Linked DNA regions of Tribolium castaneum. The protein of the gene in region 1 purifies or fractionates together with the protein of each later gene. This does not show direct contact. Links are inferred from orthologs where the notes say so. Each region holds a gene or a part of one and is shown in the gene's direction. Other genes may lie near its edges. The genes, in order: Polr2C, Fcp1 and GPN-loop GTPase 1.

Region 1 (2,866 bases):
AAGCACAGTGACATCCTTATACAACTCATTCTCATCAAATTTATATTTCCCAGGCGCCAGGCCAATGGCATTGCCTAAAACTTTATCAATTTGAACACAATTCTTGTTATCTGTGACAGTCTTAAACAGTGCGCTTTTTAGCAACTGCACGTTATGTAGCAAATTGCTCAATTCTTCGCAAAACTTGACGCCCCTTTGCCCAGCCTTGCATTTTTGGGTGATGTCAAACAAATAATTCCAAACATCGAAATTGTACTGCTGGTAACCCTCGGGTAGAGGCCCATGGTCGGGATTTTTTTTCAAATGTTGAATCATTTTGTTTTTGCCCAAATAAGCCTTGAAGCATTTGGGGCACTTGAACTGGGCTTTCACCACCCGCTTTCTGGTCTGTAATTGAGCAAATTCTATTTTACTGTTCTCCTTCTCCTCAACTCTCTCAAAATCCGTGACTTGTACTTCGCGATCATTAACACTGGGTTGAAATTTTTTGAAATCCTGTGAAACATCACTGATTAACTTCTAAAACACTTGAAAATTTACCTTTTCTATGTGTTTTGGGAGCTTGACTAGACGACCAGAACGAGTCCTGGAAGCTTTAGAAGCCTCGACATTGTCCGTTTTTGATTCGGTATTTGCATCAGTTTGTGGCGCTTCGTGCTTCTTCTTTTTAGGGCGTCCACGTTTTACAAGATTTGGAGCTCGCTAATTAAAAAAATAAATTCAAGGAATAAGAGATAAGTGGTTCTCACAATCAAACTCAGTTCTTGGGGGTACACAATTTTGACGACACATGGTTGTTCCTCGGGGTACATAATTTGGAAACCCAGTGGTTCTTCTTGGGGAACACTCGTGCAAGGTTCTTCAATGATTTCAAGAGGCTTATCCATGGATTCAACTAAGATGTGAGGATTACTCACGGTTTGGGCAATCTGTAGTTGACTATCAACTTGTTCTGCCAAGTGTATGGTTTCGAGGGGCTAGAATAACGTTGCAATATAATACTTTAATCTTACTAATTTATAAATAACAATTAGCACTTACCTCACTAATTTGAACTACATATGGCGTTGTGGGAATGTTATCGGTCATTATTATTGGACACTTGTTAATTTCTCACGATATTTAAACTGTTTTCGCGTTTTTTATTTTTAAATAAAAATTTGCAGAGGTTGACAAATCCTTGACACCACAAAAATTGACAGTTTTGATAGGCACAGGCAACCAGTTACACAAGACAGTGCTGTAAGTTGCCTTTTATAATAAGTTTTGAGGTTCTGTCGTGTTGTTGTCGGTGTTTGTGTTAAAAAAAGTTCAAATCCTGTCTTTTCGTAATTGAAATTTTCTAATATGCCGTACGCAAACCAGCCCTCGGTCCACATAACCGATTTAACCGACGATAATGTGAAATTCTACATTGAAGACACCGATCTGAGGTGAGCAACAATTCTTTAAGGGGGCACTAACTGGCCAATTTTTAGCGTGGCTAACAGCATCAGGCGCGTCCTAATCGCCGAAACGCCAACTTTGGCCATCGATTGGGTCAAGTTGGAGGCGAACTCAACCGTCCTAAGTGACGAATTTTTGGCCCACAGAATAGGCTTGATCCCCCTCATATCAGACGACGTGGTGCAACGTCTCCAATACCCAAGAGTTAGTCGTTTAATTTGATCTATTTCACATCTAAAATGCAATTTCCAGGACTGCATTTGCACCGATTTTTGTCATGAATGCAGTGTTGAATTCACCCTTGATGTGAAATGCACTGACGACCACACGCGGCACGTTACCACCGCAGATTTAAAATCGAGCGATCCTAGAGTTATTCCGGCCACTTCCAAACACAGGGACGATGAATCGTCAGAGTATGGCGACACTGACGAAATTCTGATCATCAAGTTGCGGAAAGGGCAAGAGTTGAAGGTTAAAGCTTACGCTAAAAAGGGGTTCGGTAAGGAACACGCCAAGTGGAACCCCACGGCGGGGGTGGCCTTCGAGTACGACCCCGATAATGCTATGAGACACACGCTTTTTCCTAAGCCAGACGAATGGCCCAAGAGCGAATACAGCGAACTGGATGAGGATCAATGTAAATATTTTACTTGTTAGTTGTTTTGTTTGACCATAATGTTCCAGACGAGGCTGATTTTAACTGGGAATTGAAACCAAACAAGTTTTATTTCAATGTGGAAGCTGCAGGAGCCCTAAAACCCGAAAATATCGTCATAATGGGGGTGGCAATGCTGAAGGATAAATTGTCCAATTTGCAGACTCAGCTTAATCATGAAGTACAGAACGATGCCCTTGCTATTTAATTATAACGTTAATAAAGCCGATAATTTTTAAATTAGTGTTTTGTTTGAACTGTCACTTTTTACAATTACTGAAACAGTCAGTTCCTTCTTTCTGTTGAAAAAATGAACGAGCACGACGACAGAATTAAGTTGGACATCTTTAGAAGCAAAACCACTTATCAGAATGACTACAAAAAATTCCCACTTGAGCCTCGTAAAGACACTTTGAATTGTCAAGCAAAATTTTTGGACAAAAAAGACAAGCCCCCGAGTGAGTATGTCCCTAAAGACAATGAAACTTTTGCGGCCCGACGCCCCGACGTCTACATCCCGTTTAACTTACTTTGGAGACGCAAAGAGATCACAGGCACGGACCCCCATGTACCTTTCGAAACCCCCGTATGTACAAAAATACAGTCAACAAAATAAAAAGATACAATTAAGGTAATTCCCGAGAATGCAGCCAAAGAAAACGTAATCAAGACAAGACCAAGGGTTTACATGTCCCCAGCTGTGAGTATCGACGACGTTTCAGACCCCGAAATGCGCAACTTGTTGCTGGCCCACATGTACAC
Region 2 (4,296 bases), on another chromosome or scaffold:
GCCGGACAGGAGGCTTTTAGATCTATAACGCGGTCGTACTATCGGGGGGCTGCTGGCGCTCTTTTAGTTTATGACATTACGAGGAGGGAGACTTTCAACCATTTGACTACATGGCTTGATGATGCCCGCCAGCATTCCAACTCAAATATGGTCATCATGTTGATTGGAAACAAAAGGTGTTCATCCCGTTTTATTTTTTTTTTTTTCAAAAGTGTTAACTAAACCCTTCCAGTGATCTAGAGAGTAGGAGAGAAGTGAAAAAGGAAGAAGGAGAAGCTTTTGCCAGAGAACACGGACTAGTCTTTATGGAAACTTCAGCAAAAACGGCCGCCAACGTTGAAGAAGCGTTTATAAACACAGCAAAAGAGATCTATGAGAAAATACAAGAGGGAGTCTTTGACATTAACAATGAGGTAAATCAGCGGTTCTGCTCTGTTAAGCTAATTGGCATTTTCTAAAGGTTACACAAACTTTAGAAATCAATAATTTTATACATTAGCAAGTTCATTACCCCATTTTTGGTGATACTTTCTTCTGACTTTGAAATTAAGTTGGCAGCTTGAGACGTCACACGTATAGTGCTGCCAACTCAAATTCACAACTATTGTGTTTTAAATTTTGTTGTTGAAATTGTGCAGGCAAATGGAATCAAGATTGGCCCCCAACATTCCCCCACAAATCCATCGCTTCCTGGTGCAGGCGGCGCCGGGGGTTCGCAGGGTTCGAGTTGCTGTTAAGATGACTTGTCTGTCTTGAGGGTTACATTATGTGTAAGAGAGAAACCCTTATTAAAGAATTGAAAGTGACTGCACAGGTTTATTACATAAATTAATGATCTGATATCTTCCAAATTAGCAAGTTGCACTTTACCCCATCGTTCAACAACCTTTAGAGACAAAACTTTTCAAATATTTTGATACATATGGTGATATTGGCCCCCACTAATTTATGTAATGAAAGGATTATTATTGTGATTATTTTAAGAGTGTGGTATAGTTAGTCCAATACAGGTCACATATTTATTGTTTTGAGTTCATATTTTATAGAGTACCAACCGAAAAGCCGTTTCAGAAGCATTACATCTTACTTTAAACCAACTTTATTTTTGTTATTGGTGATAATAGTGTTATGTGTTTTATTGCGACTATTATACTTAATTAAGAAATGTAGTGTTTATCTCATTAAATAAATTTGTATTGTAAAACGTCAAATTTTTTATGTAAGCTTCATGTAATATAATCAAATATAAGTTGTATTGCCAGTTTGTGTTTGTTTTACCCAAAATTTGAAACGGGCGCGTGAGTAATGGCACCCGGAAGTGCACGCGTCGTCCAATCAGGCCGCGTTCTGCGTTCATGAGTGAAGTCGTTTCCGTGCAAGATGGCGGAAAAAACTATGTGCATATCACAGCAACAAACAAAACCTATAAAAATTTTAAAATGGAAAGTGAGCGAAGGGAACACTGTCTCGATCGGAAGAGTAATCCTTCTGTATGATTTTGACGGGGCTTCCAAGGTGGAACAACGCAAGTTGAAGGTAACACAGGCCGGAACAATTTTTAAGATTGTGGCGCAGGAAGGCGCCATTGTCAAGCCAGGGTAAGCAACAGTTTTGAAAAGGCGCGCGAAAGCTCACGCTCGAATTTTCAGCGAGACTTTGTGCGAATTGAAAGAATGCACGCATCCGACGGTGATGAACGACATGTGCGCAGAATGCGGCACGGATTTGAGGAAAAACGACGTCAGTGTGGCGGCTTCCGTGCCCATGGTGCATGCCATACCTGACTTGAAAGTCAGCGAAGAGGTGGTTGCGTTATATAAAATGCCGCTGCGGGGGTTTGACTTGCATTGTTGCAGCTTGCACAGAAACTCGGCAAAGCGGACGTTGATCGGCTTATTAGAGACAGGAAACTTGTCCTGCTTGTGGACTTGGATCAGACCTTGATCCACACAACCAATGACCACATTCAGCCGAACATCAAGGATATCTATCGCTTTCAGTTATACGGGCCCAATTCACCTTGGTACTTCACAAGGTTGAGGCCCGGAACCCATCAGTTTTTGAACAATATTTACCCGTTTTACGAGCTGCATATTTGCACCTTTGGCGCAAGGAATTACGCACATATGATTGCTGCGGTTCTGGACAGGGACCAGAAGTTTTTCTCAAATCGTATTCTCTCGCGGGATGAGTGTTTTGACCCAACTAGCAAAAAGGCGAACTTAAAGTACGTATTTGAAAAGAAAAATCTGAAAAATCATTCCGTTATTCCTGTTTTTTGAGTCTTTCAAAATCATAAGTAAATAGTTTTTCTCTTCAAGTGTTTTTGAATCACTTTGCATATGTTCACTCTACCATATTTGAGTGTAGAAGGTCTAGCTTTCGAAAAAAAAAAGGCAAAAATGAGACCAGGATGAAAAACTTGATAAATTCGGACAAGAAAGCAAAATTAAAAGTAATTTTTGCCTTAATTACTCTCAAATCGAAGGTACTTTAAGACGAACTTGCACAATAAATAAATATATCGGATTAAAAATTTAAAACCAACTTGTTAAACTGAGAGAAGCAAGCTAAAGTAACAGTTTCGATCTAATTTTCTAGTCTTAGACTATCTTCGTGATATTTAAAACAACAATTGTGCTAAAAGTTCGCGAAAATATTTTTTTATATTTTTTGATACGCTGTGTTACATAATTTTTTATATTTAGGGCTCTATTTCCTTGCGGGGACAACATGGTGTGTATTATTGACGACAGAGAGGACGTGTGGTCGAACGCCGCAAATTTGATTCATGTCAAGCCGTACCATTTTTTTCAACACACCGGCGACATAAACGCACCCCCTGGTTTAGACAAACATGAAAATGATAACAAGGGAGTTGATTTAACAAAAATTAAAGACCAGAAAAAAGACGAACAAATCCAGAATAACGATAGTAAAGCGACAGAAAATGACAGTGAGAAAAATGGTGAAAATGTCGAGGAAAGTAAAGTTGAGAATCAGGTTTCAAATGAATCTGAGAGTACAAAAAACGAGAGTAAAGAAAATACCGAAGATAGTGAAGGAAATAATAAAGTAGATGAAAATAAAAACGGTGACGACAGTAGCGAACAAAAAATTGAAAATGTTGAATCTAAAGGTGTGAATGGTGAAGCAGTAACTAATGACGAAAAGCCTCCACCTGAAGAAAGTAAAACGCAAACGGAAGGGGACACCAAAACTGAAACCCCTCCGGAAACAAAAAACGCAATCGAAATAAACAATCATTTAGTAGAAGTTGAAGACCCCGATGACTATCTCTCCTATCTAGAAGATATACTAAAACGTATTCATCAAGCTTTCTATGACGCTTATGATAAAATGGAATCGGGAGAGGTTCCCGACTTGAAGAAGGTGATTCCCGGGGTGCGAAGTCAGGTGCTACAGGGCTACAAGCTGGTTTTTAGCGGGTTGGTGCCAACTCACATCAAATTAGAACAATCAAAAGCGTACCAAATCGCCAAGAGTTTGGGTGCTGAAGTTACGCAAGAGCTGGAGGACGACACGACACATTTGGTGGCTGTTAGGCCAGGCACTGCTAAGGTGAACGCCGGCAGAAGAAAGAAGAACTTGAAGATTGTTACACCCGATTGGCTGTGGTGTTGTGCAGAACGGTGGGAGCACGTAGACGAGAAGATTTTTGCTTTGAATAGCAAAGGCTCAAAAAACCGGCATCCACCGCCTCATTGCAGCAGTCCAGAGCATATTATAAGTTATCCAGAGCACAATACGCCCGCTATGCGAAAAAGGACACCCAGTGGAAGGTTTATGGACACGATTAATCCTCTCATGTCGTTTTCCAGCGCAGATATAGCGGATATGGATAAGGAGGTAAGGTTAAAAATTAGGTGAAAGGGGAATACGTTTATTGTGTTCCTAAACCGGACACTAGGGTACCAGCTATAGAAAAAAAGCGTTGTCCATAAAATCTTAATTAAATTTGCAGCAACCAAGACTTTTATTTAATAAAAAATCGTCAATTAAAAATAATGTAGGGCGACGAATTTGTTTTCAACCAACTTCAGTTAGGATCTTCTTTATCTGACAAACTGGTCGAAAGTCGGCAATTAGTTTTATTCAGTTTGACATTTTGTTTTATAATTACAAACGTTTTTTTTTTTTGGTACTCTTGCCTTTTGCGGTTGGGGGCAATGTAATTATGAATATTTGTTCAAAATTGTAATTAAAAAATGGTTGGTTGATGCAAATTCTCACTTTATTTAAAACAGAAAAATAGTTCGTGCATGTCTTTGTTGC
Region 3 (3,496 bases), on another chromosome or scaffold:
CGGCGTCTTGGGGATGAAAACGGGGAGCATTTGTTGCAATCCAACTGCAACAAAAATGATTTAAATCATATGACCAATTAATTTTATTTGATTTTTACGTCAAATTGAATCTGACATGTTCAATATCGTTGGTGGCGTTGCTCAATAATCCATTAAATGTCACTCGGTGACGTTTGAATGGTTCCAGAATTTCCAAATGGAGGTCTTTTGTTTTCCAATGCCAATCTGATAGATTATACTGTTTTGTCTTTTTTTCACCTATTTATTAATAGAATTACAGTTAGATATGTTAATATTATTGTTTACCAGGAAATGTATAGATGGCGCCTGTTGAAAGCCGTAAACAAAGAAAAACCTCGCCTACTAGACCTGACCCAATTATAAAACGTAACGATAGACTATTGCCTTTTTGATCTGCTCCATATATAAAATAATTATCACAGTACTGTAAAAAAAATTATATTAATTGATACTAACTTATCTAATAGATTAGTTTAATGTTTTACATTTTCCGTCCGAATTTCTATTGGACTTTCGGTTATGTTAATTTTTGTTTTGAATTTGTTTTGATGTTTTTTGACGGCCGATTTTGCGATTAGGAATTTAATTATATAAAACCAATCTAAAATTAATCAAGTAAATACATAATTAATTATGGAAAGAAATAAATACCTCGGTTTGTGTAAAAACGATTTTTTGTCCGATGTTGGAATACAAGAACGTAGAGTGAGATCGGAATTAGAAAAAGTGTTACGTAATAACAAAAATTGAGTAAGAGCTCCATGGTCACGACTAGAAGTAATTTCGATTAAATGTTTCAAACAGGTGTTTGAGATAATAATAATTATTATCTAAACTTGAAATTTTAACTTATCTGCGTGAGCACTTTGGATTGGAGTTGGATAGAGACACATTTACAGATCAGTGATGTAAACATAAATCAAGGCCAAACAGATAATTGCATTGCTTATTATTACATGAAAGTATTAGTATCATAGGTCAATGCCATCATTCCGAAACGGAAGTGAACATTTTTGTGATTTAAATGTAATTTTCAAAAAAAGAACCCCAGAAAGTACGCCACTGGAGAATTTGTAAAAATTAAATTATGGGTTTTTTAAATCCAGTTAGTGCAAAAGCGATTACATGAATTGATTTAAAAGTTATTATATACAATCAAAAATTTTCTGTCTTGAGGCACAAATTTGCAAAGATTGTTTGAACCTAAATACACAGCTTCTGTTCCAACTGTCAAATGTCATGAAGCTAACCAAACTTTTTTTCCACTTTATTTTATGAAAAATGTCCGAAACGGGGGGCAAAGCTCCCGTGAGTGTAATAGTGCTTGGAATGGCCGGTTCTGGCAAAACTTGTCTTGTTACTCGCTTATCAAATTCTCCGAAAAAACCGTACGTTGTGAATTTGGACCCTGCTTGTTTCAATTTACCCTATTTCGCTAATATTGGCAAGTATTCGCGGGCGTCAAAGTTTTCTTGGGATTTAATGTTAAATTACAGATATTAGAGATACGGTAAATTACAAGGAGGTTATGAAGCAGTACAAATTAGGCCCTAATGGTGCTATCGTCACAAGTTTGAACTTATTTTCAACGAAATTCTCTGAAGTGATTGGTTTTATTGAAAAGTCGAATCATGATTTGTGCATTTTGGATACTCCTGGTCAAATTGAGGTGTTTACTTGGTCGGTTTCGGGTTCGATTATTACCGAAACTTTGGCTTCAACTTTACCAACAATCATTTTATACGTTGTTGATTGTGTGCGAAGTACTTCTCCTGTTACGTTTATGTCAAACATGCTTTACGCTTGCTCGATTTTGTATAAAACGCGTCTTCCTTTCATTGTTGTTATGAATAAAGTTGATATCGTTGATCATTCATATGCTGTTGATTGGATGACCGATTTTGAGTCGTTTCAACAAGCACTTGAAGCTGCTGACGACGAAAGCTACATCAGCAATTTGACGAGGTCTATGGCTTTAACATTGGATGAGTTTTACCGAAATTTAAAAGTTTGTGGAGTAAGCGCTGCCACAGGACAAGGACTTGAAGATTTATATAAACTAATAGACGAAGCTAGGATTTTATACGAAACGTAATAACTTTATTTCTATATTTTGTAGTTACTGGAATATTTATTTATTTATATCTATTTTAGTGAATATAGAAGCGAATGGTTGAAAATAAAACAACAATCAGAAGCACAAAAATTGGAAAAATCGAAAAATAATGAACAATGTTTTACGTTGTCGGCTGGGGCCGAATTGTCTGATGTTTTTCTAAGACATCCAGGTAATGACAGTAGTGAAGACTCTGAGGGTGAAGAACAGGCGGCTCCATATCAACAAAGTAGGGACTTGTTTGATTAATTTATTATTTGATTTGATTCTTTTATTAGATGTTGATAATGAAAAAGAAGACGATGTGTTTAAAAAAGTGCTACAACAACAAAGAGAAATGCAAGTGAAAAGGGCAAAAGAAGCAGAGATGAAGAAACACCAAACCTAGTAGGTAATTTATTAAATAAAAGGAAAAAATATAGAAAACAACAATTAAAATTTTATTCACTTGAAACTAGAAATAAATTACAATAAATTATTCAGATCGTTGGTTAAGAAAAAAATTAACACATTTTGTGTGTCAAAAAGAAAAAAAAAACCATAGCTGGTGTTAAGTTTTTTCTTAGGCACATCAATTGCGTACATATTTTTTCCTATTTTATATAAATATATATAATAATAAATAAATAAATGTCTATTGTATTTAGCGTTCAACATACAATTAGTTGGCACGCTTTTCTATCAATATAAAAATAAATATAGAAACTTTGTAAAATAAAATCAACTCTTCAATTAACACAAAAACCATTCTCAGTCAGAAACAAAAAAGAAAAAATGAAGCAATTAACAAAAAAACGAATTTTGTAGATAATTATCGCCTGCTCCCATATTTCTCACATTATTCGAATTATAATTTTGGAAGCGATTACGGTTTTGTAAATTATCAGGCGGCTGTGGTGGCATTTTCCTGAAGGGATTCATTGTCCCTCCTCGAAACGGTGGTACAAAACCTAAACACCCGAAATGCCAAAATTAAGTCAAAACCTCCGTTTCTTACCCCTGTTGTGCATTGAAAAACTCCAATTTTCCAAATATTGAGCTTTTTGACGGCCGTGATCTTCTGCTACGCGAACACTCAACGGAAGCATTGCGTTTTCAAGCAGTTTGCCATCAAGGTCGGCTATGGCAGCTTTGGCCTCTTCTCCTCGCGAAAAACTAAACGAAAAACAAATTATTATTTACAAAGTTTTAATAATTATTATTATCATCATTATTATACCGGACAAAGGCAACTCCACGTGGCATTCCGGTAATTTTGTCCTTTAAAACGGACTTTTGGATGATTTCTCCATAGTTTGAAAAGAGTCTGTGAACATCGTCCTCAGTCACGTCTTTGGGTAAGTTAGTGATGTATAAATT

What was found.
Region 2: the proteins of Polr2C (region 1) and Fcp1 purify together in Homo sapiens (affinity purification with mass spectrometry; 3 studies listed by BioGRID and IntAct, with this or other methods). This does not show direct contact. The link is inferred for Tribolium castaneum from reciprocal best matches to the Homo sapiens genes POLR2C and CTDP1.
Region 3: the proteins of Polr2C (region 1) and GPN-loop GTPase 1 purify together in Homo sapiens (affinity purification with mass spectrometry; 3 studies listed by BioGRID and IntAct, with this or other methods). This does not show direct contact. The link is inferred for Tribolium castaneum from reciprocal best matches to the Homo sapiens genes POLR2C and GPN1.

The regions. Positions count from the first base shown.
Region 1 is NC_087398.1:8,331,986-8,334,851, reverse strand, and holds Polr2C (DNA-directed RNA polymerase II subunit RPB3), read left to right. Parts: upstream 1-1,291; 5' UTR 1,292-1,347; coding exon 1,348-1,433; intron 1,434-1,478; coding exon 1,479-1,650; intron 1,651-1,698; coding exon 1,699-2,086; intron 2,087-2,133; coding exon 2,134-2,312; 3' UTR 2,313-2,344; downstream 2,345-2,866. Other genes in the region: uncharacterized protein LOC103314918, read right to left, coding at 1-495, 541-702, 750-977, 1,042-1,089; uncharacterized protein LOC103314913, read left to right, coding at 2,415-2,690, 2,736-2,866. UniProt on the Homo sapiens protein: Core component of RNA polymerase II (Pol II), a DNA-dependent RNA polymerase which synthesizes mRNA precursors and many functional non-coding RNAs using the four ribonucleoside triphosphates as substrates.
Region 2 is NC_087396.1:10,632,751-10,637,046, forward strand, and holds the start of Fcp1 (RNA polymerase II subunit A C-terminal domain phosphatase), read left to right. Parts: upstream 1-1,340; 5' UTR 1,341-1,380; coding exon 1,381-1,598; intron 1,599-1,649; coding exon 1,650-1,803; intron 1,804-1,856; coding exon 1,857-2,227; intron 2,228-2,708; coding exon 2,709-3,870; intron 3,871-4,296. Other genes in the region: Rab2 (ras-related protein Rab-2), read left to right, coding at 1-176, 233-413, 639-737. UniProt on the Homo sapiens protein: Processively dephosphorylates 'Ser-2' and 'Ser-5' of the heptad repeats YSPTSPS in the C-terminal domain of the largest RNA polymerase II subunit. This promotes the activity of RNA polymerase II.
Region 3 is NC_087401.1:17,594,060-17,597,555, forward strand, and holds GPN-loop GTPase 1, read left to right. Parts: upstream 1-1,160; 5' UTR 1,161-1,302; coding exon 1,303-1,465; intron 1,466-1,517; coding exon 1,518-2,112; intron 2,113-2,175; coding exon 2,176-2,366; intron 2,367-2,415; coding exon 2,416-2,525; 3' UTR 2,526-2,857; downstream 2,858-3,496. Other genes in the region: rifampicin phosphotransferase-like, read right to left, coding at 1-44, 99-258, 307-445, 507-622, 673-784; Sxl (sex lethal), read right to left, coding at 2,921-3,087, 3,135-3,292, 3,357-3,496. UniProt on the Homo sapiens protein: Small GTPase required for proper nuclear import of RNA polymerase II (RNAPII). May act at an RNAP assembly step prior to nuclear import.